7 linked regions of the Rattus norvegicus genome follow. The protein of the gene in region 2 purifies or fractionates together with the protein of the main gene of each other region. This does not show direct contact. Links are inferred from orthologs where the notes say so. Each region holds a gene or a part of one and is shown on either strand. Other genes may lie near its edges.

What was found.
Region 1: the proteins of Prkacb (region 2) and Akap11 purify together in Homo sapiens (affinity purification with mass spectrometry; 5 studies listed by BioGRID and IntAct, counting the BioPlex papers as one, with this or other methods). This does not show direct contact. The link is inferred for Rattus norvegicus from reciprocal best matches to the Homo sapiens genes PRKACB and AKAP11.
Region 3: the proteins of Prkacb (region 2) and Akap9 purify together in Homo sapiens (affinity purification with mass spectrometry; 5 studies listed by BioGRID and IntAct, counting the BioPlex papers as one, with this or other methods). This does not show direct contact. The link is inferred for Rattus norvegicus from reciprocal best matches to the Homo sapiens genes PRKACB and AKAP9.
Region 4: the proteins of Prkacb (region 2) and Akap7 purify together in Homo sapiens (affinity purification with mass spectrometry; 4 studies listed by BioGRID and IntAct, counting the BioPlex papers as one, with this or other methods). This does not show direct contact. The link is inferred for Rattus norvegicus from reciprocal best matches to the Homo sapiens genes PRKACB and AKAP7.
Region 5: the proteins of Prkacb (region 2) and Cdk5rap2 purify together in Homo sapiens (affinity purification with mass spectrometry; 4 studies listed by BioGRID and IntAct, counting the BioPlex papers as one, with this or other methods). This does not show direct contact. The link is inferred for Rattus norvegicus from reciprocal best matches to the Homo sapiens genes PRKACB and CDK5RAP2.
Region 6: the proteins of Prkacb (region 2) and Akap1 purify together in Homo sapiens (affinity purification with mass spectrometry; 4 studies listed by BioGRID and IntAct, counting the BioPlex papers as one, with this or other methods). This does not show direct contact. The link is inferred for Rattus norvegicus from reciprocal best matches to the Homo sapiens genes PRKACB and AKAP1.
Region 7: the proteins of Prkacb (region 2) and Vapa purify together in Homo sapiens (affinity purification with mass spectrometry; 4 studies listed by BioGRID and IntAct, counting the BioPlex papers as one, with this or other methods). This does not show direct contact. The link is inferred for Rattus norvegicus from reciprocal best matches to the Homo sapiens genes PRKACB and VAPA.

Annotation. Positions count from the first base shown.
Region 1 is NC_086033.1:60,337,454-60,341,390, forward strand, and holds part of Akap11 (A-kinase anchor protein 11), read right to left. Parts: coding exon 1,429-3,937; intron 1,244-1,428; coding exon of another isoform or gene 1,234-1,243; exon of another isoform or gene 1,214-1,233; coding exon of another isoform or gene 1,201-1,213; exon of another isoform or gene 1,160-1,200; intron 1-1,159. UniProt on the Homo sapiens protein: Binds to type II regulatory subunits of protein kinase A and anchors/targets them.
Region 2 is NC_086020.1:238,299,326-238,303,107, reverse strand, and holds the end of Prkacb (cAMP-dependent protein kinase catalytic subunit beta), read left to right. Parts: intron 1-2,843; coding exon 2,844-2,969; 3' UTR 2,970-2,981; downstream 2,982-3,782. UniProt on the Homo sapiens protein: Mediates cAMP-dependent signaling triggered by receptor binding to GPCRs.
Region 3 is NC_086022.1:31,112,464-31,116,400, reverse strand, and holds part of Akap9 (A-kinase anchor protein 9), read left to right. Parts: coding exon 1-1,704; intron 1,705-3,832; coding exon of another isoform or gene 3,833-3,907; coding exon 3,908-3,937. UniProt on the Homo sapiens protein: Scaffolding protein that assembles several protein kinases and phosphatases on the centrosome and Golgi apparatus. Required to maintain the integrity of the Golgi apparatus. Required for microtubule nucleation at the cis-side of the Golgi apparatus.
Region 4 is NC_086019.1:21,912,835-21,916,771, forward strand, and holds part of Akap7 (A-kinase anchor protein 7 isoforms delta and gamma), read left to right. Parts: intron 1-3,002; coding exon 3,003-3,134; intron 3,135-3,937. UniProt on the Homo sapiens protein: Probably targets cAMP-dependent protein kinase (PKA) to the cellular membrane or cytoskeletal structures.
Region 5 is NC_086023.1:88,972,762-88,977,329, forward strand, and holds the start of Cdk5rap2 (CDK5 regulatory subunit-associated protein 2), read right to left. Parts: upstream 3,137-4,568; 5' UTR 2,981-3,136; coding exon 2,922-2,980; intron 1-2,921. UniProt on the Homo sapiens protein: Potential regulator of CDK5 activity via its interaction with CDK5R1. Negative regulator of centriole disengagement (licensing) which maintains centriole engagement and cohesion. Involved in regulation of mitotic spindle orientation.
Region 6 is NC_086028.1:74,148,366-74,152,911, forward strand, and holds the start of Akap1 (A-kinase anchor protein 1, mitochondrial), read right to left. Parts: upstream 3,002-4,546; 5' UTR 2,809-3,001; intron 1-2,808.
Region 7 is NC_086027.1:112,624,041-112,627,698, forward strand, and holds the end of Vapa (vesicle-associated membrane protein-associated protein A), read right to left. Parts: intron 3,040-3,658; coding exon 2,866-3,039; intron 1,534-2,865; coding exon 1,375-1,533; 3' UTR 751-1,374; downstream 1-750. UniProt on the Homo sapiens protein: Endoplasmic reticulum (ER)-anchored protein that mediates the formation of contact sites between the ER and endosomes via interaction with FFAT motif-containing proteins such as STARD3 or WDR44.

The sequences.
Region 1 (3,937 bases), on a different chromosome or scaffold from region 2:
TTGTTCCATCTGTATATAGTCAACACAGCTGAAGCTTAAGTATGAAGAGAAAAAGTATCAGTTTTCTGATCAAAACCTTCCATTGGCTTCAGAACATCATGGATGTATAAGCTAGTCCCTCACAATGTCAACATTCTTACCTGCTATCCTCTGAGTAGTCATTCTACAGCAATACACACAGGCAGCCCCAGCCCTCTGCTTGGAACACAGTATCCCCCAGCTCTTGGAGAACACATTTTTTTTTCCTGTTTCAATTTATCTCCCTAAAATCTAAAATAAGCCCTGAACTGCCCTTCCCATTTTTAAGGAGCTTCTCACTTTGCATTTAAGATCTAACAACCGGGTTAGGTTTGGCATCCCAAACACAGGTATCTTACCACAACTTTATTTTATTTAACACTTTTTCTTGTTACCTGTCACATTTTTAAGAAAATGACTCACAGGAGGAGGCTAAAAGGAGGGTTTGTAATGACTGCTAGGTAACTGGACTCATGGTAATTAAAAATAAAGTATAGATCCATTATTGTTATAAAATTCCACTACCATATGCTTTCCTATTTGATATTCATATGGTACCCTGGTGAGCGTTATGGGTTTGTAATATCCTATTATAATATTCTACCATTATGATTACTTCCATTAATCAAACATTTATGAGAAAAGGAACATTAGTGAAACAATTCAGTTAACATTTTAGTGAATAATCTATTTGAACCAATCATTCTTCAATCTTAAATCATTTTAACTTTATAAAATATGAGGTAGAACTACATGCAACTGAAGGGACTCTGCAGAACTTACAGACTCCTGGCACAACGCTTAAAGGAGACATAGGAACAGAAATACAAAGAGAATCTGCGAATACCAGCCTGGATAAAAACAAGCTTAAAGAAGAATATAAGGTACATTACTGGCCAGGTCTAAGGAAGAAAACGAATAGTCTGAAGAATGAATAGCAACGTTATTTGCTGGGTCCTGGGAGTAAGGGCTTAGGAATGACCATCTAGTATCCTCTTCTAGAGCTGCTGTGAACAAGGAAGAATAAAAACCATGTGTGCCAAGTTGTTTCAACCATAGAAAGAGACATTAATCTCAAAGTAGTAAATATATCAGTCTGAATTCTTAAATAAAATTCACCAGTTTCTTTTATTCTATTTACCTGTTTCTTAGTTCTGTGAATTGATGTTATTGTCCTTTCTCTCATCTTCCAGCCCTGTAAATGAATAATTTCTCTCAAAAGGAACTGGGAAACAAAAATTTCAGATGAAAACCATGCACAGGATATGAAGCCACATACAAATGCAACAGAAAATTTTTGTTAAGTTAGAATGAAAATAAGTAGTCTTTTTATGAACAGAACCTAAAACTTATAGGGCAAAGTTAGCTTTTCATTCTATTGTAAGACTCCACAGAAAATTTGAAACCTACCTGCTAACAGCATGCCCGGCATTTGTCATAGCTGTGGTCATGATTTCTGTGGTAAGGCTCTCAGCAAAGCTAATGCCATCTTGTCCAATTCCACTATCAGCTGCCAAACTCGTATTGCTCAACTCTCTCTCTGCTTTTTCAATAGCTTCAGCGACTATCTTCTCTGCAAGCACCGCCCTCTTATCAAGATTAACATGAATTTGAGGAACATCAAGATGAAAAATTCTTGATTTCTGGCGGATGCTACTAAGTTTTGAATGTGAACTTGGCTTAGCACTAGCACAAGGACCCTGCTTTGAAAAGAGCTGAGCAGAATTTCTGATACAACCATGGGATTCCTTAAGGTCACAGTATCTGCAAGCTTCATTTATAAGTGGTGACAATTTTTCTGCATAAGTAATCCTATCTGGTGATGTTGTGGTCTCTGAATTAAGGAAAACTGCAGGTCCTAAGCTTAGCTCTAAAGTGTCACCCACTACTTTCCTAGCATACTGTTCTACAGTGTGAGCACTCTCTCCACAGCTATACCCACTTAAACTGCTTGTGTTCTGGCAAAGTCCATGGTTTTGTAAAGGTTGACACGACTTTGAAACTTCTGGTCCAGTAACATTCTCTCTGTTGTCAACACATTCAGATTTTTCAAAAAGACAACAGTCTGTTGAGGATTTTGGCAAGTCAACTTTAGGTGCTGTCAGCTGTTTCTTTACATCTCTTGTTATGCTGCTAGCAAGAGAGGCTGAAAACCTGTACAGTTCAGAAAGTTCGTTTCTACATGGATCCTGTGTCCTGTCACATGTCTGGTATTTGCAAGGATGGCTGCCATATTTTTTTCTTTGTCTTTTTTTATCTACTTCTTGGTGATGCTCTTTACTTGAGAACAACAGTTCCTTGTTTGTTTTCACATGAGAGGTGTGCATAGGGAAGAGTTTCAAACTGCACTTCACTTTTACTGTCTTAGCTGCTTCTCGTACTCCTGACTTGACAGAACGGTAGGCCAATCTACTGGCATACTGATCCATGATTAGCTCACTGTTGCCACCTTCCTGTTTCAGCACTTGAATAACGTGCCCAGCATATTCATCAGTCACACTTTCACAGCTGGGATACTTGTATGTCAGACCTGGCATGCAACTTGGTAATGAAAGAACACACGTTTCTACTTCTCTTGGATGTGCAATATCCTCCACATCCAGCTTCTCTTCTGCTTTACCTCGATCACCTTCAACATGACAAATGGTCCTCTCATGCCCGAAAAGCATACAACTTCTAGTGTTTGCAACTTTCTCGGCTTCTGCAATAACACCAGCTGCCATATCACTTGCAAAACTGCACGTCTGTATGCTTTCATCTAAGTGACTTAGAGCAGGCAGCATGCTTCTTTGACTTGGCACAGTTAAGTGAGAGTTTTGAACCTTGAATTCTTGAGTGATTTCATGATCTAAGTGGGAGGCTGCCACTTCAGTTGCAAGAGAAATGATGTGTGTAGCTAATGCGTCTGCAAACTGACCTTTTTTCCCTGAATGCTCTGACTTTACATCCATTTCTGGGTGCTCCTCACCTTCACTGCTCTCAACTTCTTCAGAAAGAGAGCGCATGAGTTTCAGCATGAACTCTTCCTTTTCTATAGTAGTTTGTTCATTCTCAGATAAACTACCAACGGATGAGTTGTGAGGTGTCGAAGGTGGTGTTGCGGGAGCAAATTCTTTGGCTAACTCCCCTTTGAGTTGTTTGGTTAACTTTTTGATGTCCCATTCAGAACTAGTCTGGGATGGTACTAAAGGTGTTGATGGGGGAGTATCAGGTATCACATTTCTGTCTCTGATTTTCTGCTTATCTTCCACATGCAAACTATCTACACAGGTAAGCACTGCAGATGATAAAGTCTGTGAGGGACGGAAAGAGCTTTCCTGTCCAAAAGACAAGGGCTCAAGCGCAGTATTAGTCAGATTGTGTCTTGTTACCACTTTATCCTTCATAACTCCCTTCAAGTCAGATTTCTGACTTGTCATCATTGAACAAGGTGGCAGTGCCTCTAAAGAAAATCCAAAACCCACAGAATCTTTACATTCTGGAACACAATACTGAGGTGAATTATCTGAAAAGTCAAGGAATTTGGGAGTTTCCCCCAAGGTCAACTGTGATTCTTCTCCAAGAACAAGCATGTGTTCCTTACTAACTGGTTTTTTATCTATATTTGGAAGGACTGACTTGCTTTTATCCAGGGAATGTTTAATAATAGACTTTGATAAATGCTCAGCAAACATGTCCTTACTGCTAGCTTTGTTCTGTTGTGGTGCTGCTTGGTCGCAAAGGGAAAAAGAACAGGCTTTTCCCTTTATTGTTTTAGTTAAATAATCTGCATTTGTATCAACAGGTTTTGTGGCTTTGAAGGATGTCATGGACTCTAAGGTTTCATTTACTATTGTATGTACCATTGCTGTGGAAAAGTTGCTAATAATCATAGAGCCACTCATTAATTTTGAAGGACTCTGCATGTCGATATCACCAT
Region 2 (3,782 bases):
CTGTAACTGAAGTTAGTTTGCAACTACATAGATCTATCTTCAACATCCCTGCCAGGGGTGGGGGGAATCCTCTGACCTTGGCTTCCCAGGTACTGGGATTATAGGAAGGTACAGAGTATTGATATCATATTTCATAAACAGTTTGGACTTTACAGGGCACCTGTTTAACTTGTAGCTTTGAGAATTTGGGAGAGGGGGAGGCTATTTCAATAGGAAGGAAAAAGGAGAGGGAGGGAAAGAGAGAGAGAGAGAGAGGGAGGGAGGGAGGAGAAAGGAGAAGGAGGGATGGGAGATGCCAAAACCATCAACTCTGGACCTAGGTAGCTGTAAGCCTGAGTCAGACCAACAGTGAGTTACAGTATGATCTTGAGCACATGGTCAAACTACGTAGACATAAGCTTTATTACTCAGAAGTGTGGGGTGAGGGAGAGAATTCAAAAGGGAGCAAGGAATGTTGAGAAAGACTAGATCAGTAGGTCCTGGTTCCAATCTGGAGAACTTGGTGAGGAGACAAGTGTAGGCTCTGCCCACACAGACAGGACCGGTGTTGACACTGGGTGTCTTCCAGCTCCTTCCTTAGTCCTCATTTCTTCAGTCCGCCATGACCTGAGTGCTGAGCGTCAGTCTTCCCTCACAGGTGCTGCTTGGCACACGCCCTCACAGGTGCTGCTTGGCACACGCCCTCACAGGTGCACGTCACAGGAGCGTCGTAAAGGGTGCTGGACACCTGTTTCCTTCCTGTGCTTAGAGATCTAGTTTCTTCTTTATTGTTGTACAATAATTAGCCTGTTGTTACATTATTGTCAGCATTATTGAGTAACCTTGGTTTAGCCCCTAGTACTAAACTATCATACATTTGACTCTATTTCTAAACATACCATGCTTCTATATTTATTCAACTATTTTCTGCCATTACTTGGTATCTGTATTTGTCCCTTGTAAATTTGTTCCTTTAAAAAAAACAACTTACTGTATCACTCATTTTAGAAACTGACGCTGTTCTGAGAAGCTATGCCTGCTGGTCCTCACCATTGTTTCACCATCTCATTATTGTGTTTATTTGAGTCAGTGCTGTACTTAAGTTTATATTTCTGTGACACGTGCTGTGGCTGTTAGTTTGAGGGAGGGTCGTTTGTCTGTCTGTATAGCTTTGGCCGTCAGGAAACTCACTCTGTAGAACATACTGGCCTTGAACTCACTGAGATCCTCCTGTCTTTGCCCCCTGAGTGCTAGGATTGTGAGGAAAACCAGGCCGATCTCTGAATTCAAGGCCAACCTTGGTCTATAGAGTGAGTTCCAGAATAGGCAAGACTACCAGAAAAACCCTGTCTCAAAAAACCAAAAGTTATGGTATATTTTGAATCTTTTCATCCTAATATTTTTAAGTAAAATTTTCTGCTGGTACTCAGCAAACATATTAATTATCTGTATCACATAGTGAATTGTTAATGGTCTTTCTAAAATTGTGATAGAACTGAATTACTCCTGCTTATCTAGAGTTCATGACTCATCCCAGTCAGCAGACACTGACTGCCCAGCAGCGGCCCTGCTGACAGGCCAGGCCATCCTGCGAAGCACACTGCTGCATAGTTAAATCTCGGGTACCGTGAAGTGGGTGTGAGGAGCATGAACGTGACCAGAAGTAAAAACCACCTTAGCGTAGACTTTGGTTTCGGTGTCTTCTCACTTGTCCACAGTGCAGTGCAAAAGTAAGACAGTCTAGCTAGGTGTTCACAGCCTTATTCCCCGGCCACTGTTTATGAACAGTGAAATAGCAGATGTACCTAGAGAAAGAAAGCCCAGGATAAAGAAGTGGTCTGGACAACTCAGGCTATGGGCTGATTCTAAACCACCATCTGGCCAGAAATGAAGCACTTGTGTGCTTGGCTCAGTCTGTGTAGGACAAAATGGCCGTCCCAGGCCACAGTGCCAGGCACCACCTGGAAAACAGAGAGAGCATTAGAATCTCTGTTCATGCTTACTTGTAACCTCCTTCTTTTCATGTGTCTATCATGTTTATAACCTAGGATCTATTGATGTAGTCATGGAAACAATAGCTATCCATGCGGTGATGTGCTAGAAAGTACTTAATGAGATCACTGCTGTATGCAGAAGAATAAGCCCTTGAGTGTTTGCGACCTGCTTTAGTCATTTATTACTGATATAAATTTGGTCAGCTCTGTGCTATAATCTTTAAAACAGGAGTGAAAATGGCCACCTTGGCTTTCCTGCAGTGTGAGGAAGTGGACATGGGGGACGGGACAGACAGACAGACAGTGTGTGATTATAAACCCAATTGATGGCTGTGGGGTAATGCCGCCTGCAGTCATGTCAGCTCTTAACGCTTTTCCTCACACATCGTAGGCATGGGGTAAGTGAGATTAGATGGAAAGACTTTCTTTTCAGAGTCAAAAAAAAAAAAAAAGGAAAATGTTTAGAAGTTGAGTTCTGTGATTCTGTGAGATGTCTCTAACTTAGACTTTTCATAGTCAGAGGTTTTAAGTATGCTTAGAAATTAGAAAAGACATTGAAAGTATAAAATGTGTTAACCTTAGAAGAAAGGAAGTTGAAGAAAAAAATGAAAGCTTTGGAAATGAATTGATAAAAGTAAAATAAAATGGAAAGTCGTTTTCTAGCTGGGCCGGCGATCCGATGCCTCCCTGACCGGGAGCTGCGCTCGTACTTTGCTGCAGTTCCCCACGACGTGAGGTTCTAGCTGACTTCTAGTGGATGGCGCTTCAAGCACTGCCTGTGTTTAAAGATGCGGGGACTCCATTGCTCTGGGTGTTTGGAAGTGTCTAGGAGTTGTTCTTCCTCTTATTTTCCTCCTGATGTCATTACAGGTTGAGGCTCCATTCATACCAAAATTCAGAGGCTCTGGCGATACCAGCAACTTCGATGACTATGAAGAAGAAGAAATCCGAGTGTCTATAACAGAAAAATGTGGAAAGGAGTTTTGTGAATTTTAGGGAGGAGAAGGATTGCCTGGAGCTCACACTCAGTCCTTGCACGCTGTGGAGGTAGAAGATGGAGCCGAGACCTGCTTGTTGGAGCGGGTTCCAATCCCTTCATTCCAGCAACCGTGAGGTCTTTCTTGCGTCATCAGTGTGCGCTCTGCAACCGCCTGTGTACCAAGGCAGCGCTCCGCAGCATTGTCTGTGCCGTGACACAGTGTGCACCAGGTTCCTGGTTTGGTTGTTGTCTCCACCCTCCTACATCCTTCTCATTCACCTCTCTGACCAGTGCTCCCTTTATTTTCTTGGTGTTTCACATGGGCAGTGTTATGGCTGTTTGGTATTTAAAAAGGAAGCTACATGTTGCTTTTTGTAGTTTTGAGCGATATTTTTGCTGACCAGTGGCTTGAAGATAAACTCTCTAATGATTATTTTTATTTTGAGTAGCTTGGACTCAGTTTTGCCAAAACTCTTAGTAATTTGAAGGTGGAATGTCTTATCAGCACGGGAATTTGCATAAATGAAGATAACTTTTCAGGGGTCACTGACGTAGCAGTAAATCAGAGCACCTAGACGAGCAGTGAGGGTTCCTGGACAAGAGGCTTCGTTCCCCTCGGTAATAGTCTTCTCTCCGTGAGACGATAAGTGACCAGACAGATGCCTCATTTGTCAGGAAAGTGCGGGACATGGCTCCTGGCCCCAGCTGTCTCCCTTGGTACCAACATCTCTGTGGGTTAGGAGAGAGGCCTAAAGTTTCAGCCTTCGCTCTTCCGTGAGGGCTTTAGCCAGTATTTCAGGAGAGCGTGACTGATAGGTGACATTTTGTGA
Region 3 (3,937 bases), on a different chromosome or scaffold from region 2:
GCTCTACAGAGTCAGTTTGAAGACCTGTTAGAAGAGGTCAGGTTTTTACGAGAGCAAGTGCAGAAGGCTAGACAGACAATAGCAGAACAGGAAAACAGACTGAGCGATGCGCGCAAGTCCCTGAGCACAGTGGAAGACTTAAAAGCTGAGATCGTTGCTGCCTCCGAGTCCAGAAAGGAGCTCGAGGTCAAGCACGAGGCTGAGATTACAAATTACAAAATAAAACTCGAAATGCTAGAAAAAGAAAAAAATGCCGTGCTAGACAGAATGGCGGAATCCCAAGAAGCAGAGTTGGAGAGGCTGAGGACACAGCTCCTCTTCAGCCACGAGGAAGAACTGTCCAAACTGAAAGAAGACTTAGAGGTCGAACATCGAATAAACGTTGAGAAGCTTAAAGATAATTTGGGCATCCACTACAAGCAGCAGATAGACGGCTTGCAAAATGAAATGAATAGGAAGATGGAGACTATGCAGTGCGAAACAGACAACCTGATAACTCGGCAGAATCAGCTAATTCTGGAAAACTCAAAGCTAAGAGATTTACAGGAACACCTCGTTAACTCAAAATCAGAAGAGATGAATCTTCAGATCAACGAGCTGCAAAAAGAGATTGAAATCCTCAGACGAGAAGAGAAGGAAAAAGGTAGCCTTGAACAGGAAGTCCAGGGGCTACAGCTTAAAACTGAACAACTGGAGAGACAACTGAAGGAGAAGGGAGATGACCTTCAAGAAAAATGTGCACAGCTGGACGCAGAGAACAGCGTTCTTAAAGATGAGAAGAAAGCCCTTGAAGACATGTTGAAAATGTACACTCCTCTGGACCAAGAGGATCCCAGCACACGCAAGTCGGAAGACCCGAGGTGGCAAAAGGAAGTAGGGATGCTGAGGAAGGAGAACGAGGACCTTCAGCAGCAATGCCTTCATCTAAGCGAAGAGATCGAGAAGCAGAAGAATACCTTTGCGTTTGCTGAGAAGAACTTTGAAGTTAACTATCAGGAGTTACAGAGGGAGTATACTTGTCTTCTCAAGATAAGAGACGACTTAGAAGACACACTAGCTAAGCAGGCCTTGCAGTATGAAAGTAAGCTGAGCGCGCTGGAGGAAGAGCTCCATTCGCAAAGAGGAAGTCCGACCACGCCACCGAAGGGGGAGAATTCTGGGTTTGCTGCCAACAGAACTTTCCCATTGGAGCCGCTGGAAGTCGGCGAAGTTGTAGAAAAAGATACAACAGAGCTTATGGAGAAGCTGGAAGTGACCAGGCGAGAGAAGTTGGAGCTCTCAGAGAAAGTCTCTGGTCTTTCTGAACAACTAAAGCAGACACATGGTACGATTGATTCTCTAAGTGAAGAGGTCAGAGCCTTAAAGCAGGAGAAGGAACAGCTTTTATTGAGATGTGGAGAGCTAGAACTCCTCACTAATGCTAATGGGACAGAAAATGCATCCGTCTGCCCTGTGCAGAGGAGTCCTTACCAAGCTGGGCCTGTGATGGGGACGGTCAGGGATTCTCAGGGACCTATTTCTAAAGTCAGCGAAGATTTGGCTGAAGAATCAAAACCAATGACAGAAGATAAAATTCCCTTTAAAGAAAGTGGGAGAGAACCGTTGCTTTTGCCAACAAGAACAAAAAAACCATCTCGAGTGACAGTTGAACCATGTGAAAGTGAAAAACTCCAGCAAGAGCTTTATGCCCTCAAAGCCGAGCAGGTATGTCCATGTGCTCTCAGAATCACAGGGAAACACAGATTCACACACAAGCAGCCCACTTCCAGGAAGCAGATCCACGCCCTCACTGGGAGGGAAGGTGAACCCTGGCATGGGGCTCTCAGTTTCTGTCAGTCAGGTGTCAGTTTACCTAAACACTGTTGCCTCTCTTTCAATTAATCTCTTATGCTGATCAGAAAATAAGCTAGGGTAATCCTTTTTACATCCTTTTCTCCTTCTTAAAGAGAGAAGTTACTGTTGGGAGACTTGGTCTCATTTTATATCATAATCACTTTGCTTTAGTATCCATTATTTAGAGCATTTCATACTGATGTCCTCTAGTATGAAATTTCAAGTTTTCAGTTAGAATCCCACAATTGTAAAGCAAAGCAAAACAAAAATCCTAAGTTTTCTGCTGCTCTGAATTACTCAGTGCTCATGGAATCATATTTCTGGGCGCTGAGGCTTAAGGCCTAGAGTTTTTGAGTCTTGATACCTGAGTGAGGAAAAAAAATACCGTTAACTCTTCAATATAAGGCAAGGTCTTAAAAATGCATATAATAAATATTCTAGATTCATTCTGCTGCTGTGGTAAAGCTGACCAGAAGCTGTTGTTGTAAAATTATATAAAAAATACTGTCTTTTACCCTGCACTAGATCTGTCACTGTAGATATCTGTGATATGTGATATCTGATAGAAATCTTCATCTCAGTCAGCAAAGCCTCTCACCCGCTCTGCTCCATCCCATGTCAATGGCCTGTCTCTGAGCCTGGCCTCAATCCCTCTACACATTCAGTTCCCGAGGCGGGCTGCCACCATGCAGAAGTATAGATCCTAATTCCGTGGTGGCTCGGTGTTCCAGCTGCCGCATACGCTCTTAAACTTAGTTCGTCACAAGAAAGAACACACAATAGCCTTTGATCTAATCAATAAGATATAATTGCCCACCTAAACATACAAAGCCCTGTACACATCCATCCCTCAAGGACATTCATAACAACCTGTAGATGTGCAGAGTGGAACCTTGGGAGAGGAAAGGATTACAGGTGGTTCAGACTTCCAGGTCACAGTCCAGAAGTGAGGTCAGAAGCTCAATCATAAAACCACACAGGAATGACCCACAACATAGCATTTTATCACCATCCCATTGGCAAAATAACTGACTTACTGATACGGATCTAAGGACGTAAGCATCCACATTTATCTTAGTTCAATTATATAAAATATTATTTGGCTACTAAAGCTGGGCCTGTGCATCAGCTCTGACCAGCAGTTACGTTCCTGACGGCAGCGACACTTGGAAACAGGCAGAACGAGTATTTCTTAAGCTTCCTGAACCAGGTCAGAGGGCAGACACCATGGACTCGTGTCAGCAAGAGCTGCAGATGAGTCTGATGCATCCTGGACGCTCACTCGCCAAGCGTTCACCCACTTGTCGTAGGTGCTTATCTGTAATAATTAACCACCTTTTGATTTAAAGGACCCAAGCTTGCGAAAGTCTAGTTGGTCTCCACCAAGGGAAGTGCTCCAGTTGTGGATTGTTCATTTATGCTGCCCTGCAATCAAAATGAATGAGCCTGTCGCATACACGCATTGATGTCAGAAGCATTTTTATTGATATTTTTATATTTGATAGAAAAAATGCAAAGGAATTTACAAAATGAGTGCCTTTGCATCAGTACACAGAAATACACACTATAATGTGCTGTTTACGTGTATTGGGGAAATGATAGTAGACACATTTCAGATTTTTTTGGTAACAGTTCCTTGTGAGCAAGAAATAATCAAACATCATGAATTTAATTTTGTCTCTAATGTTTTCTTTCTTATTTTAAGGAGCTTTAGATAGATAGAAGAAAAAAATGACAAGACATTGGGATTTATTAATTTGAGTTTTGAGTACATTGGTATTTATTTACATTATTTTCATTTTGTAGCTGTGAAACATTATTTAAGAGATTCTTGCTAGCTATACCAACCTATTTACCATCACACTGAGTTAATCAATAGAAACATGATACTGTCTTTCTTGAGCAAGACAAGCGGTTTGGTGCATCTGGAAGAGGTCTCTAAAGCAGACCAGCTCCTCCACACGAGTTTGAAAACTGTGACGTGTTTTCTCCTTTGAAGTTCAGTCCATGTAGAGAAATCGAATCCGAGCTGCTACTTCAGCTTTTCCTCATGCTTACGCCTGTTCACTTCAAGGACGATCTGAGGCTGCAGATGGAAGCCCAG
Region 4 (3,937 bases), on a different chromosome or scaffold from region 2:
CTATAAGTCAGGAATTTTCCACGTGGCATGCAGACTTGGGAAATAATATTGACATGACAGTATCATATTGGGGACTATCTCCTATCACTAAGTGCTAGATGGAGAAAAAGTTAGGGGAGCCATAGTTGAGTTTATTCTCCCAATTCTGATTTTATGCAATTTTCTTATACATTATAGGTAGTATATAGGTATGTTTGATTGTGTAAGCACTTTAAAAATTGCTTTATCATTGATATTGGTTATTTGGAGTCAAGATCTTGGTCTTTAGCCAGGCTGGCTTTGAACTCCGAATTCTCCTGTGTGCTAGCATTAGAAGCCTGTACGTGCTCCCACACCTGGCTGACAAGTGCTGTTTTGTTTTCTGAGTGTAAGCTGCGGGTGAGTGAGGGCCCTTTACATAGCATCGTAAAGGTTCGAGATACATATTGATCTTTTTAAACTTTTGTTTAAGTCCAAACTGCGTGTGTGTTACACACGGAAAGCTAAACGGCGAGGAGGAGGAGAAGGTAGAAGAGTTAGAGGATATACTTTTAAAACTAGGACTGATGGTGTCCATGCTGGCATTGAGTCCACGCCATAGAAAGACCTGGAGTTGAGAGCATCCTGCCTCAGTCTCCCTATTGCTAGAATTACAGGTCTGAACAGTACCAGTTTTCAGGCTATAGGTTTTTGTTTGTTCATTTGATTTTAGTTTGTGTGTGTCCAGCGCTAGGGATTAAAACTAGGACCTTGTTCCGATGAGGCAGAATACTTCTGAGTGTTCCCCAGTACCCTGTAAGTCATAGTTTAAAAAGATTTATTGTTATTATTTTGTGTGCATGTGTGTGTGTGTGTGTGTGTGTGTGTGTGTGTGTGTGTGTGTGTTTCTGTATGTGTACATGCCTGAATGTATGTGTGGTGCAGCATGTGGGTGCCTAGAGTCTAGAAGAGAATGTTAAATCTCCCAGTGGTGGGTAAGCTGCTCCATGTGGTGCTGGGATTTGACCCTAGAAATGACCCCGGACCTCTGGAAGGAGCAACAAGTGCTGTTACCCACCGAACCTTCTCTCTAGCCTCGTAGGCCACCGCCCAACTCCTCCCCCTTTCCCAGCTCCTCTCCCCCAGTTCCCCTTCTCCCCTTTCCCCCTCAAGATTTATTTTAGTCTGTGTGAATGGCTGTTTGGCCTGTGGGTTATGTCTGTGTAGCAGATGTTTGCACCGCCTTCGGGGGTCCTAAGAAGGTGTTGAACCCTCCGGAACTGGAGTTGACAAACATGCGGTTAGCCATGTGGGTGCCGGGAACTGAACCCAGGTTTGATGGAAGAGCAGCCAGTGCTCTTAACTCCTGAGTCATCTCTCCAGCCATTTACATATTCTCATGGAATGTGTTTTGCAGCCATAGCATTTGAAAATAGAGGGTGACGACAGAAGGAGGTACTTTTTAAAAATAGTCCGCAAGGCAAATCACTCTTCAATGGTATACTGGCCGAAAATTAAGTAAGTATTCCAGGATTTTGTTCAGTACAAACAACATTTATGTCTGCTGATGGAGACCACCGAAAGATACACTTAGCGATTAACTGTCAGTTCTGGTCTTTTCCTTAGTCGTTCACCTACAGCATTGTGGGTGTTCTTCCCATAACAGGAAAACAAAGGCCCAGTGTGAAACGTGGCTTTTAGGGCATGACATGGAGGGCTGTTACAAAATACCACGAGGATGATTTGCTTCTCATAGTTGAATTAAAAAAAATGCATTTTAGAGCCGTACACTTAATTTTTGTTATTGTGTGTATGGGAAGGCATGCATGGGTGATCTGTGTATGGAGGTCAGAGAACAATTAGAATTGGTTCTGTCCACCTGTGGATGGTTTCTGGCAGGCCCAACTCAGGTTGCCAGACTTTCATGGCAAAAGCCTTTACCCAGGAAGCCGTCTTGCTAGTCCCAAGAGTCAAGTCTTTTTAAATATATTTCCAGTGTAATGATGGAGTGGAAGAGTTTGTGGAGAAAAAGTACAAGACCTCATGCAAATCAGAAACACAGAGTTGGGGGTTGGGGATTTAGCTCAGTGGTAGAGCACTTGCCTAGCAAGCTCAAGGCCCTGGGTTCGGTCCCCAGCTCCGAAAAAAAGAAAAGAAAAAAAAAAAAAACACAGAGTGGGAGGAAAAAGGGATAAGAGGTGAAGTATGTGTGTGTGTGTGTGTGTGTGTGTGTGTGTGTGCGCGTGCTCATGTGCATGTCTGTGTGTGCATGTGTTTACGTGCATGTGTGCATGTGACTATGATCAAAATATACTGTTCTTGTATGAAAGTAACAATGAAACATGTTATATATAATTAATATATCCTAACAAAACAATATTAAACAAAATATATTAAAATGCCCCACATAATGGAAAATAGACATGAGAAGACACAATAAACAAGTCAGCAAATAACTTTTGCTAGTTCGTTGTCAATAGGTGAAAAAATAGGACCGCTTTTAGATTTAAGAAAATTTATCAATAAAAGATGGAAGATCTATTTGTCATCTATGTCCAACACTACCCTTTGGGAAAGGATTAAAGCCTTCGAAGTTTACTGTTTAATATAAAAAAAAAATGCACCGTTAGAAACAAGATTATCCAAAAACAAAACAAGCAAACATGGGCATGGTGGCCCATGTCCACCAAGCACTGGGGAGGCAGAGGCAGGTGGAGCTCTACGAGGTCAAGGTCAGCCTGGTCTACAAAGAGAGTCTAGGAACTGTCCTAGGACAGTTAGGACTTTTACACAGAGAAACCCTGTCTTGAAAAAACAAAACCAACCAACCAACCAGTCAACCAACCCACTCACCCAAGAACAACAACAGCAAAAACCAAGCCAAGGCAAAGCAAAACAAAAAACACCCAGGACTCTGTTAAAGGAGAGCTTAATAACCTCTCCTTATGACTTGAATTCACCTAGCTGAGTTGGCTTGGTTTTCGTGTTGGAGTTTAACAAATAACAATTCAGTAAGACGTGTTTCTGTTTTTGGTTTGTTACAGGAGAAATAGATGCCAATAAGTGTGATCATTTATCAAGAGGAGAGGAAGGGACGGGGGACCTGGAGACCAGCCCTGTAGGTTCTCTGGCAGACCTGCCGTTTGCTGCCGTAGACATTCAAGATGACTGTGGACGTAAGTACTGTGTTAAAACACAGATATTTAGGAGCGCAGACACTGCATCTAGTTATACGTTTCCTCCATTTTACATGCGTGTCATGCTTTTGAGTGCTAACAGTTATCTGGTACTTTGTTGTCAGAACTGTCGCAGACAATATTAAGGCATCGCTCACAAAATTGTGGACCAGATTATTCTGTGGTTACTACCTGGCAGATGGTTCTGTGGTTTACAACAACCCACTTTAGTCCTTTAGAACCACCTGTGATTACAGAGCCTACCCCTTCACGTAATAAACGGTTAGTGGCGTTTGCGTGTTTATGGGCACTTTGCCGTGCATTGATCAGGTCCATCTCTCCGTCAGTGAACCAGAGAAGCATTATCAGTTCAGTTCTGTAGCCCCTGAGAGCATCGTCTACGAACTTTGTGAATTAGTTACTTGGTTGAAATGCCAAACTAGAAATGTCATGTCATTGTGAAAACAGAACTGTACGTAATGTCTGTCACCTCTACCAAGGTGTGACAGATTTCTGTTATTCAGGAGCGGGAGATAAAACCTGTTCGCTGTCCATCTGTCGGTGCTTCTGATCTGTCCATGTCTTACTCATATTTAGTATATCTGAGCAGCTTACAGTAGGTGTGAGTAACCTCTGTAGTCTGGCTATTGGTTGAGGAGGTCCATGACCACTGTACATGAGGGAGAAGGACTGGGGTGCGTTCGTGAGCTCTGTTCTCTTCATGCTTTGAAAAGGATGTCTGCTTCTGCTCAGGATGGGCCTCAGGAAGGGGGATCCTTTATGCAAGCAGGATCTTGGCCCTG
Region 5 (4,568 bases), on a different chromosome or scaffold from region 2:
TATAAACAGCTTATTTACATACAGCAGTTCACACTGAATGGACAAGCTTCATGGCATAGAAACTACATCTTCAAATATGTGAGAACATTCAGGTCAGAGGCACATACATCTTCAAATATGTGTGCACATTCAGGTCAGGGGCACATTTGAGTGTGGGCACACGTCCAAGGATGTTCACACATCTGGACCCGAGATGTTAACCTGGAGTCACTCCTCAGGAGCCATCTGCCTTGGCTGTTTTGTCTTGTCTTGTTTCGGGGCCCTTGGTTTCTCAGATTTAGGCTCGGCTGGCTAACTAGCCAGACCCAGGGATTCTCTGATCTCAGCTTCTCTAGCATGCATCACCATGTCTAGCACTTTTTTGTGGGTTCTGAGGATCAAACTCAGGTCTTTTACAAGGCAAATACTTTGCTAACTAAGGACTCATGGTTCTCCTAAAGCTTCCCAGTATAAGAATACCTTGGATCCAAGTTAGCCCTCTCCCTCATCTGATTTCACCCTTCCATCCTCTCTCCAGACTGTTTCTTCTGGCATACATGATGGTGAAAATCAAACTATGCTTATGGCTAAACATGTTCTTCCAGTCTGCTCCTAACACAGTAGCAAGCACTTATTGGCCATGTGCTAGAGCAACTCGATATTCAATAAGCTTGGGTCAGGTACACCCTGACCTAATGCAACAAAAATTCAAGGACAAACTGTGCTCAGTTTAGGCTATAAACATGAGGCTTGCAAATTCCCCTGAGAAGGGTGCTCAGAAAGCAGTATATTAAAATGAAAAGTATGATTTCATCATAGGAACTATCGTCTCCTACTGTGGTCACCTAATGAGGACTCATCCAGCCCAGAATAGCCCAGAAGGGCCAGTTCAAAGCCAGAAGCTCTGCAAGAGCCCCTTGGATACTCAGTTCAATTAGTTCAGACTAGTCAGAAGGCAGAACAGACTTTGGATTCAGGAAGCTTGGAGTTAAGTCTGATTTATCACAGACTTTTCTGTGACCCAAGACCATTCATTTCAGCTGAGCTTCAGGATCCCACATGTAACAGGGGGAGAGAAGCAGCCCCTCAAAGAATCACTTTTCACTCAGTGATTTGACAAATGCCACTCTGCTCCTATTCTGCCCCAGACATTAGGCTAAGAACTGGGTTACAAACAAAATCTAGTTCCTGTTCTAAACCAGGACTCTAGCTCATCTGGTGAGTGTATGTTAACAACCAATACCTCCACCGCCCAACACACAACCATTAGGTATAGGTTGAAATGAAGTTTGCCCAAAGTGAGAAGCAATCCAAGTGTAAAAACTCACACCAGATTCAAAGACTAAGGAAGATTAAAAGATAAAAATATCTTATCACAAGTTTTCCTATGGATTTTGCTAAAATCACATACGGAAATATTAAGCTAAATAGCATACGCCATTATTTCACCTGCTTCCAATGGTGCTGCTGCTCAGTAGTAAAGCACTAGCTGAGGAGGTGTGAGAGGCCCTGGTACAACCTCCAGCACCACAAAGAAAGGAATTTCACTTGTTTCTTTTCTTAGTTTTTTTTTTTAATTGTGACTACCAGAAAGTTTTTAGTGTTGTTGTTTTGGTTTTTCGAGACAGGGTTTCTCTGTGTAAGGTTTCTTGGTTATCCTGGAACTTTCTCTATAGACCAGGCTGGCCTTAAAGTCTGAGATCCACCTGCCTCCACTTCGCGAATGCCGGGATTCAAGGCATATACTACCACACCCAGTTCACAAGAAAGTTTTTAATTAAATATACACCATAGGTTGTATTTCTACGCTGGTCACAGTCAACCAGGTTAGGACAGTGACAGGTAAGGGTAGCTAGAACATTACAGAAGGCCCAAGCAAGGGTGAGAATGTCAGTGTGGATTTCCTAGCAGTGGAACCTGGGTATCAATAAGGCAAAAGGCATAGGAAGGGCAACTGACACAGCAAGAACAGCACGTACATAGCCTGGCACCAAGAAACAATTCGGTAAGATCATTCCTGACAGAGCTTGGCAGTCAGGCACAGGGCTGAGGGCTTGGAGAAGACCCAGAGTTGGGAACCATAGATGGGGTGGGGGTGAGGCTAGAGAACAGATGCAGCCGATTAGAGAGAAACTTGGAAGCCACAGTACAGAACTTCATCCTGAAGATGGCAAGGCACCTGGAGGGCCTAGGGCAGGTTAAGAGATGAATGACCAGGAGTGAATGCAGCATCTGTCCAGTCAAGGCTGAGAGAGAAAGGAAAGGAGAGTATTAGCAGATCTACTAAGCTAGACTTGGGGTGGTTTAGTTCTCATGCCCACAACCCATTCTAAATGTCCAAAATAATCCAATTTCTGGTCCCAAGGGATCTGAATAGAAGACACAACTTGTAGTAGCAGTAGCAACGGTAGATTAGCATAGTATCATCCTTTTCAACACTGGTGTATGTCAGCCAGTACACCAGCCCAGAGAACTGGCTTTTCATTCTCATCTTGTTTTCAAAGCAGAAGTCAATTTACCAGGCTGGATTTGATAAATTCTGTCCATCTCCAACCAAGGCACTGTTGCCTCTGTCCTGGATGGCTACTGTGTGACCCTGTAAAAGTCTAAAATAACTACACTCCCCATAATGAATGCAAAGCCCCAAACAAGAATCAATCACCCACCAAGCGCTCTAAGGTCCAGTTCCAACCACCCCCTACTAATTAGTCCCATCTCCTCCCACTCTTTCAAAAAAGCCCCTTACTATCCTACACACCCTCTTCAAAGTGTACTCCAGAACACACAACATATAGTCGAACAGAGTGCTGGCTCCACACCCAGGTCCCACCACACTCGGGTGGCAGCAGAGACCGTCCCCAAGCAAACGGAAGGCCTCCAGGGTGTGACCCACTATAGAAACCCCCACCCAGTTACCACGAAGCCCAAAGCCAGGGCCACACCTGCAGCCGCTGAGGGTCCCAGGCAGGGTGACGTCCTCTTCCATCCCTGAGTCCATCATGAACACAAAGAGGTGGCACCGGTGTCTGCAGCAGCAGCGCCACTGGTTACCCCGCAGTCGCGGCGCGCTCGGTTCCCCAGGTCCCGCCCCCTCCAACCCAGCTCTTGTTCTCAGTCAAGCGGCGCCGCTGGAATTCAAACCGCAGCCGCCGCCATCTTTCCCGGCGCTTCTTCCTACGGAAACAAGGCGGGGTCATCCAGGCACGCACCGTGAAGCTTCCTAGCACAGACCCAAAACCGGGCAGGGAGAGTTTGAGTGGGCGCCATCTTAACTCAGGGCAGAACCTGTGCTCTTGAGCCTGCAATACTAGGAGAAAAGAAGCGGCAACCATGTTTTGTGTGTGAGGGCAATCGGGCCGAAGCCAAGAAGAGCGCCATATTTGTTGAGGGTAAAAGTCCGCCCGAATCAGTTAATTTAAGCGGGAGGTCAGACAGTTCAGAGTACCAGTCTCTTTGCTGCCATTCCAGACACATGACCCCGCAATCGCGCTTTGACTCTTTGTTCCCAAAAGGCTTCTTCCTTTAGTTGAAACGCAGATAATTGAGTTATGCCTCGATTTAGAAAAGTACCACCTGTGAAGCGCTATTACAAGCAGTGGTTTACAGCCGAGTTTGAAGCCGCATGCCTATAGATGTATCATCCATACTTCATGGGAATTTTGTCACTATTAGGACTCGTACATGAACAATCAGTAAACTGAGACCTAGAGAGATGAAATGACTTGCTCAAAGTAATAAGTTTACTATCCGTTAAAACCAGATCCTTAGCTCCTGGTATCAACATCTTAGCACTTTGGAACCATGTTTTAAACTTCTTGGCCAGGGAATATGTTTTAAGAAGAGACAGTTGTTCCCTTCCCAACAAAGGTTCTGACTGAATTGGGATTTCAGCTATTCCTGCCTTGAAACCCCTCCCACTCTCAGGACTTCTTCACTTTTCTTTAATCTACACAGGAATAAGGGGAGGGAAAAAGGGAGGGGAGGGAGAAGGGAACTGGAGGATGCTTGGATGTGGAACAGTTGTCCCTGGTAGTAAAAACAGTTCTTCTGTCATGACCCTTTGACTGGGCACTTTGGGCCAGACATCACTAGCTTCAGACCTTTGCCTGCTATATTCTGAGATCCTAGGGGAACAAGTGGGTGTCCATGACTGACAAGCTCAATTGTTGCTCCGTTAAAAAAAAAAAAAAAAAAAAGCTATCCTATAAGGTGTTGTAAGGATGACCTGAGATAACTTTAGAAATTCTTTCAATAGTAGTTCTCATTTCCCCACAACCCTAAACACACTTTCTTTCTTTACAAACTGGCAATAACGAATGATGTGCCCTAAATGGGGCACACAGACTATTAACCCCAAGTGTTCCGTTCTTTTTCCATCTTAAAACTTACAGTTCAGACATGAGATCTGTGATAGCTGGGGAGGAGGACCACTGAATAACCCCAATCCACGTTCATTTAAACAACCCTAATTAAACTCAGAGGGGAGGAAAAGAACATGAAAGCAGGGGTGCATAGGGACAAGAGAGTGTAATGGGAGGTGATGAAAATGACCATAACATGTTGTATACATGTGTGAACTGTAAAACAAA
Region 6 (4,546 bases), on a different chromosome or scaffold from region 2:
GTCTCAAAAGGGGGGAGGGGCACTCTGGACCTAAAGGTCAACTGTCCAGAACTTACCATGCATAAGCCTATGTCCAATCCCAAGTGCTTGAGAGAGACTGACTACACCAGGAAGGAGAAACAGAATTTGCCCTATGAAGCCAGATTTAGGACTTAACACACCCCACTGTAGAGATTAGTAACTCTCAAACATTATGATATCCATGGCACATGGAGCCCACAGAACCCAGGCATCTCCCCATAATAAAGTTCCTAGGATTACTATTCAAAGAAAAACGCCAGATACAAACTTCCTACAGACAGGAAAGAAAACTGAGCCGCAGAGAGGTCCAGGCATGTCAAACTCACAAGGAACATTAGGAAGGAGTAGCCAGGGAAAACAGGGCAGCTCCCCGGGCACATGAGCTCCGATGCCTTAAAATGCCGGTGCGATCAAGACATGCTGACCCAGGAGGCTAGGTGGCAAAGTGAGGGTAAACCAATTTGTCTTCCTTTTCCTTCTAACCAAGTTACTAGGTCAGAGGCTAGGGGAGGGAGTGCTTTTATATTTAATCAAATGACCGAGAGACATTTGACAGGGATTCCTTGGGAGTGAGGGACGCCATACTTAAGTGCCTACCCTATACCAGGGATAGTCCCAATCTCCATCCATGTTTAGGATGAGAAAAGGAAAACCGGAAGCTAAAACTACCTTATTCCGCAAACTAGCTATGGCCAGCTCCACAAATAATCTGGGTACCTGGTAAGGTAGCAAAGACAGATTGCTTTAAAGTACTGAGGCTCTGCAAACCTGACACACTGCCTTCAGCATCTGAGCAGGCATCGTACAACTGATACCTGTGTATCTTTGCTGTCACCCTGCAGTGGTCAAGTGAGAATGAGACTCCTACAATTATCTGGGAGATGGGAGAACCCCGGGTAGACAAACTCACTAGATTTCCATCAGGTCTCACCCACCGGCCCCCTCTACAGAACAAAGCCTTCTGATTTAGCAAACTGACCGGAAGCTTTAGTGATTTGCACACACGCCCATAGGGTAGGAGAATGTCCTCTAACCCAAGGCCATTCACAAGACGACACCCAGGAATTACCCAGAACCTACAAAACAGGTTAGAAGTAAAAGAAAGCTCAACAGCAAAAAGCTGTCAAAAACCTAACCCTTGGGCTCTGCAAGACTCCTAAATAATCTGAAGGTGAGCCATTTAAATGCCAATCAGAGAAGACTCTGACTCGAGAGCGACTCCTTCATCGAGTTTATAGATGCTTTGTGGCTTTAAGAGAGAAACGGGTAGGAACCCCTAAGGATCTAAGCCTCGATTTTCTAAAGCGTTTAAAACAAAACCAAAAACCCCAAGGTTACTAATTGGGGAAGGATTTCGCACTTAGAGGAGCGCGTCTGATTATTGGTTTCCGGAAGCAATAGCAAATCGACAGAGAAGGTTACACTAGGTGCGGCAACCCCGATTTCACTGCAGGCGTTACATTTAAACCCCAAGCAGCCTCAACTTCAGTAGTGGAAAGAAAGATAGGCAGTTTAACCTCACTAATTGCCCTACACATACACCCTACCTTACCGGTTTGAGGAGCCTCCACTCGCACCTGGAGCGAAGTCCACCGGGTTTGTGTTAAGCACAGCCCAAGGGTAGAAAGGTACTAGTCGCTCGAGGCATTTCCCAGAGAAGAAAGGTCCGGGTTAACACAGGGTTTCTCGGAAGTCTCTTCTGCACAGCCCAATACTATTAGCACCTTCCCACCCGCAGAAAGGAAACAGGAAAAGATAGGACAAGGGAGTAGTTGACACCAGAATGTAGGCTCCTTGACGCGTACGGAGGCTTCTCTACACGCAGGTTTTTACCTACAATCGTGGCAAAGTCCCCCCCCCCCATGACCCCTTGCAAAGTCCCTCCAGATCACTGTCCTGGGGCGGGAAGAAAGGTGGAAGGCGACACGTGACCCTGGACCTCCCCACCCCCGCCAGAGGTCAGCGGACACCTCTAGCTAGAGGTCTTCCACCTTTTGGGACGCGCTTATGGGGCCACAAACTCTAATCCCCTTTCGGACACCCAAGCCCTCGACCTCCGGTCCTAATTGGTCTTATGGTCCCTTCACCGCCAAAAGGTTTGGGACCTGTCTCGCATCCCGTTCTCCCCGCTGCAACAGTCCTCCAATAATTCGCGGCACTGAATCCAGGAATTGTGCCACTGCCGGGCAAACCCAGAGCGAGTGAACTGGGCCCAGCAGTTAGGAAGTTAGGAAGTACAGGGGTTCCCAAGGACCTCCTCTCCCGCCTTGGGCACCGGGTCCTGGGCAGAGACAGCCCCGCTGCCTCCTCTCCATGCTCAAACTGGGTACACACGACCTTTGAAAAGTAAACGCTAGCGAGGCTGGACGACCTTGGGTGGGACGCGCTCGGGCTCGCTACCCAGAAGGGTGAGCCGGCACCGGGAAAGTTGAGGCTCACCGAAGCGCCCGGGGAATTGCGCCCTCATCTCCATCCCAGAGGCCAGTGACATGAGGGGGATGGGAGGGGAAAGCAGCGGCTCAAAGCAGCGCCCCAGGCTCAGCGCACGCGATCTGTCAGTAGCAGCCCGCGGGCAAATCGCCGGACAGGGAAGGAGCAGGGGGGGCGCGCGGGTCACCAAGGCTCATACCGGACCGCTTGACAGCAGGCGCCGTGCACAGGACTCTCCGTCGCCGGAGTACCTGACGCACGCGTCGCCCTCTGCACCTGCACCCCAGGCTCCCCATCACCCCAACTCGTTCTCCCTCCGGGCCCGGCAGGAGGATGCCCGCGCCAGCCGTCACTTACCTGCTCCGGGGCGACCGTCTAGGCGCACAGTCCTCCCGCCACCGCCCCCGGGCCCCCCACCTAGCCCAGCGGCCCTGCCCCGCAGCGCTGCAAGGCGCTTCGGCCGCTCCCCCACGTGCTAGCCCAGGCCGGGCGAACACAGAGACATTAAATACTGAGGACGCGCAACGACGTGCCCGCGGCGCGACGCAAGGCCCCGCCCCTCGCCCTCGGCCCCCTGGCGTGCCCCCCTCGCCCGCTCGCTCTCCTGCGCGTGCGCGCCACCAGCCGCTCCCTCCCCCGACTTGCGCGCGCCTCTCTCCTATCTGCGCCAAGAGGGGCGCGGTCTGGAGCGCTCCGCTGATATCCCGGCGCCGCTCGGGCCCGCCTTGCTGGCGCTCTCGCGAGAGTAACTATAGTCACGGCAGGCGTGGGAGATGATCCTACGTCCCACAAGGGCTGGGGTGGGTTACCCATGTCTGAGCGCTAGGCACAATGAACTTGGCTCGCTTGAGAGCTCTTCTTCTCCGGGACGGAGAGGTATCAGGCAGGTTCCTGCCTTGGGATGGTGCGTCCCATGGAAAAGGCAGGAGCGGCTGGTGAGAGACGAGGTTACATTGTTCCTCTTACCTAGGAATTGAGCTGTCCCGTAACTTTGCTAGTATAACGTAGCATTTCGAGTATATTAGGTGGCCATTAATTGATCAGTAATATGGATAATGTGTAGCCCTCGAGGGCAAGTTGCTTTCTCATTTTTGCAGCTTTAGTGATGTCGATAGGACTTTTCTCTAAATGATTTGAGTTTTTGCAAAGTTTGCCTTCGAAGAAGTGGTCACCATGAGTCACTGCCTCCTCCCAACAACATGAGAAAATAAAACTATCATCAGACAATTGGATAGGAAGGAGGTTCCACTTGCTAACCAGCCCTGCTCTGATCCTTAAAACCTAGGCACTTTAGTTTCTTGTTTATTTTGATATTCTGAGATTGTGTCTCATGTAACCTACACCGGCCTCAAACTCTCAAACTGTCAAGTTCGAAGCTGACCTTGAACTCCTGATCCTCCTGCCTTCACCTCCCCGGAGTGTTAGCATTACATAGCACTTTCAACGCATATTTTTGTACAAAATATAGAAAAGATGCCATACCACGAACGAACCATTACTTGGGAAAATCTTCACTGGTGATTAAATGTGAATTTATGTTTTAAAAGGAGACTGTATGCTTACTGAGTGGTAAATATAATTTCATGTATCTACTGTTTCACTCATTTATTTCCTGAGGCAGCACTTGGGAAGCTGAGGGAAGAAGATTACCACAATTTCAAGTCACCCCAGGCTACCCAAGTTGAGATCCTATCTCAAAGTAAACCCCCCAAATTGTTTTTAAAGATTATTTTTATGCGTATGAGTGTTGACTACACACAGACATTCATTCACCACTCGAGTGCCTGGTGCTTGGGAAAGCCAGAAGAGGATGTTGGATCCTGTGGAACTAGAGTTACAGAGCAGTTTAAAGCCTCCATGTGGAGGCTGGGAACCGAATTCTGGTCCTCTGGAACATTTGATGGTGCCCTTGCCATGAAGCCTTCTCTCCACCACCACCCGGCCGGTCAAACTTAAGTCCAATAATACCTGTTCTGTAAATAATAGTGGATTAGTGACTGACCGTGGCAGAAGGGAACAAACAAGAAACCTCATTGTCATTGGAGATGAGATACTGGCCTGAACTAATGGCCCATCATTGCTCAGTGACTCTGGG
Region 7 (3,658 bases), on a different chromosome or scaffold from region 2:
CAATCTATACGTAATGAGTGTTCAAACTGTAATTTTCACATGTCTAACACTGATTTGCAAAACTAATGTTTTGTTTTTCAAAAAGCAAATCCCCAAGTTTTGCTAATACTAATTTCCACAACAGAAAAACAATTCTTTTTAGCTATTATTAAGAAACACATTAAAAAGTAGAATTATTTAATGTACTGAGTATTTGAAATACAGGAGAATTAGTCTTCCTTGAGAAAAGTTTAAAACAAAACCTGGCAAGAATGGAGTCAGCTGAACAGGATTCAGTCAGCTGGCACGCAGGAGACATCACGATTACAGCACTGTTACATTTCATAAATTCAATTAAGATGTTCCAAAATCCCCGTTAGCTTTAAATCTTGTCATTTCTTAAGGCAGCCTGAAGACTAAACTACACATAGCCACAGGGCTAGGAAGAGCCCACACAGGACAAAAGCGTGCAGTGCACAAGGCCCCACTCCTTTGCTGGCTGGTGGCAGCAGCGTGCACCTTCAATCCTCAGGCTCAGAAGGCAGAGGCAGGCGGATACCTGAGTTCAGGGCCAGCCTGGACTACAGAGTAAGTTCCAGGACAGTCAAGGATACACTGAGAAGCCCTATCTTGAAAAACCAGAGCAAGGCAAAGCAAGCAAACAGATAAATCAATAAAGTCCAATAAAATTAGTTCACTGCAGATTGAACTTCCTCACCCACCCCACCCTTACCCGACCCAGCACAAATGACATGACAGACACAAACCAGCTGTCGAGCAAGAATCTGTTAACAGTTTTATTTTTTATGTTAAATACCATGGGACAGGATTGTAAGGATGAAAAACTCAGTCAACAAACTGCCTCACAAGGGATAAGAAAATTCTGCCATGATATTAGCAAAGGTAAAGGAGAAAATTTACACAGTAAGAGGCACCATTTCCCCCACAGAAAACCTCTTGGCATTTCCTGAATGAGTGGGATTAGCAATCTAAATAAATCATATTTCAAGAGGTAACAGCAACAGATAAAATTTAAAGGGATTATTAAAATAACATTTACAAGACTGAACAATTCTTGAACTCTTATTAAAACCACAAAGAAAGAACAATTCTTTATTATGAATTTCATAAAGGACTGGATGTGCGACTGGCATCTGCTAGTGATGATCTGGTAATATACAATTTGTCCAGTAGCCGAACAGTTTGTTTTTATTGTGTTTTCTAACCGTAAGAGATCATTAAAGGCAAAGCCTATATGACGCTGTACACACAAAAAAAAATGGTCACCACGGGCCATGGTCACCGCGGGCCATACTACCAATGAAATGGTAGGTAAACAAATCTTTTTCTGGTCGAGAGAAAAGAAAAAAGAAACAGCACTCTGCATGCTTCACTCTACAAGATGAATTTCCCTAGAAAGAATCCAATGAAAATGGCTGCAATTACAACCAGAAGAGAAGGAAGAGGACTGGTGACATTATCTCTGAAGGACACGGCTGAGGTGGATCCAGGTTTATCCGAATGTGCTACCTTTCTGAGCCGTAGGCCTTCATCCTGGGGGAAACACAGAAAACAAAGATTTTAAGCAACAGCACACACAGGTGAGTAGTGGGGCTAATAGTTCATAAAGAGCGTGGAGGGCTAGGAATAGGGGCAAGAATAAATTCCCATCTACCTTGGGCACCTGTGGAATTAGGAAAAACTCTAAAACTGAATTAAAGCAACTGCTGAATAATTCTATAAATCCGCCAAGACAATCAAAAGCGTTCATGTGATATGAATTACACTGCAATAACAATGACTATTAAAACACAAACTGAGAAATGTGTTCTGACAGAACATGTGTACTCACTCCACTAAGCTCCACGGCATTTTTAATTGGCCACAGCCATGGGCCAGAGGCTATCAATGCACCCTATACTCAACAACGTCAAAAGCCACATGGCAGACACAGGAGGAATCATTTTCATAGTCTTGATATGTGCAGAGCAAAACCTAGGAACATACGTAAGGGGGCCACCATGGAGCATAGACTAATGCAGACCACATACGGGAACCCTCTGAAGCCCCTGCCCAGACTGGAAATTGCTTCCTTGTGTTAAAGTACCTTATTTGCTTCCATGTAAAAGAATGAGCTGCCCCCTTCTCACTAAAACGGTTTCACACAGCACTAAGTTTAAGTTTCTGATAGTCCTATGATTTTAGGAGATGTGACTGCCTTGGCTTCTCCTAGGAAAGCAACAGTTTCTCAAGCAAGTGGTTGTTATGATAGTATGTGTCACCTGGTCCTGGGGAAATTACAGATACCTCTTAACTTTATCAGGTGCTGGTCATACAACCTAAGAAACTAGAGAATGTTTACTACCTCAGTATCAACCATTCTATCCTCACCCCATTCCTCAACCAGCACCCCAGCTTCATTACAGTTTAACTTACTGTTCTAACATTAGGAATGTGTGAAGTGACACACGTCATTATAGCTGTCCTGAGTCCTCATCTTCCCCAGGCTGGTGACATGTGCTATGATCCTCTCAGAGGATGCCCAAACTCTGGTGCTAATTAGCAATGCTAATGTGTTAAGCTAGGCTAGGCCATTCGATAGGCAGGTGCATTTTCAACTTAGAGAAAGAATATAATCCTATCAAATGTCAAAAAAAAAAAAAAATCTTAGAACACTAACTAAAGATACCTGGCCATTTTATTTCCATTACCAGATTTCAGAAACTTCATTTCTTTAATCTTGTATTAACTAGTTCCAAGTAATAAGAACAGTCAAACGAGTTCAATAACCAGCAACAGGACTAACTATGAACACAGAGAGGCTGAAGGACACCAGCGCACTCCTCATACCTCATCCAGTCACCTCATTTTCAACCAACAACTTACTCTCAGGTGTCGGTTTTCTTCTGAGAGCTTCATCATTTCTCCCTGAAGTCGCTTGCACTCTTCCATCAGTTTCCTTGTCTCCGTGTCATTGAGTGAAACACTATGTGGTTTTGGCAGGGGTCCATCTTGCTTGGATGCATTCAGTGGGACAGCTTTGCTAGGTTCCATGTCGTTCTGTATTTCAAAGATAAGGGAATCTTTAAGCAAAAAAGGTATAGATTTTTAACTAATAAAAATCTAAGTTCTACATCTTTTCTAAAAATATTATGAAAATATGACAGGTTTCAGTGAATTAAGATTTATTAAGTAGCAAATATGACCATCTGTAGAGGATTTTCAGGGGAGCATGTCAGTAAACACTAGCAGTTAACCACAGGAAGCAGTGCACTCCCTCTAATCCACAGCCCTGGCACTGACCTTACCATGACACTTAAGGAGTCGCAATAACTCATCCTTTACACCCTTTACTCTAAATTTCAAGTGGAAGAAGAGTCACTTCTCTTTGTTATTCACCCCTAGACACACACTTTGGTCAAGAGCAGTCAGTGAAGGGACATAGGTTGGGTGAGAAGCTCCAGGTCATGTGTAATGGACAGGTTGTATGAGGGTCTGATTCTGCACTCAGATGAGGCTTAGAAAACTGGACGGTACAGGAACACCTCACAATCATTGCTGTAAATTGATAACTACCTAAGGACATACAGTCAAAAACAATCTAATGCCTATTAATGGAATACAGTACTAGAAGGTACAAACACTGGAAGGGAAACAATAAACAGATTACTACATGGGA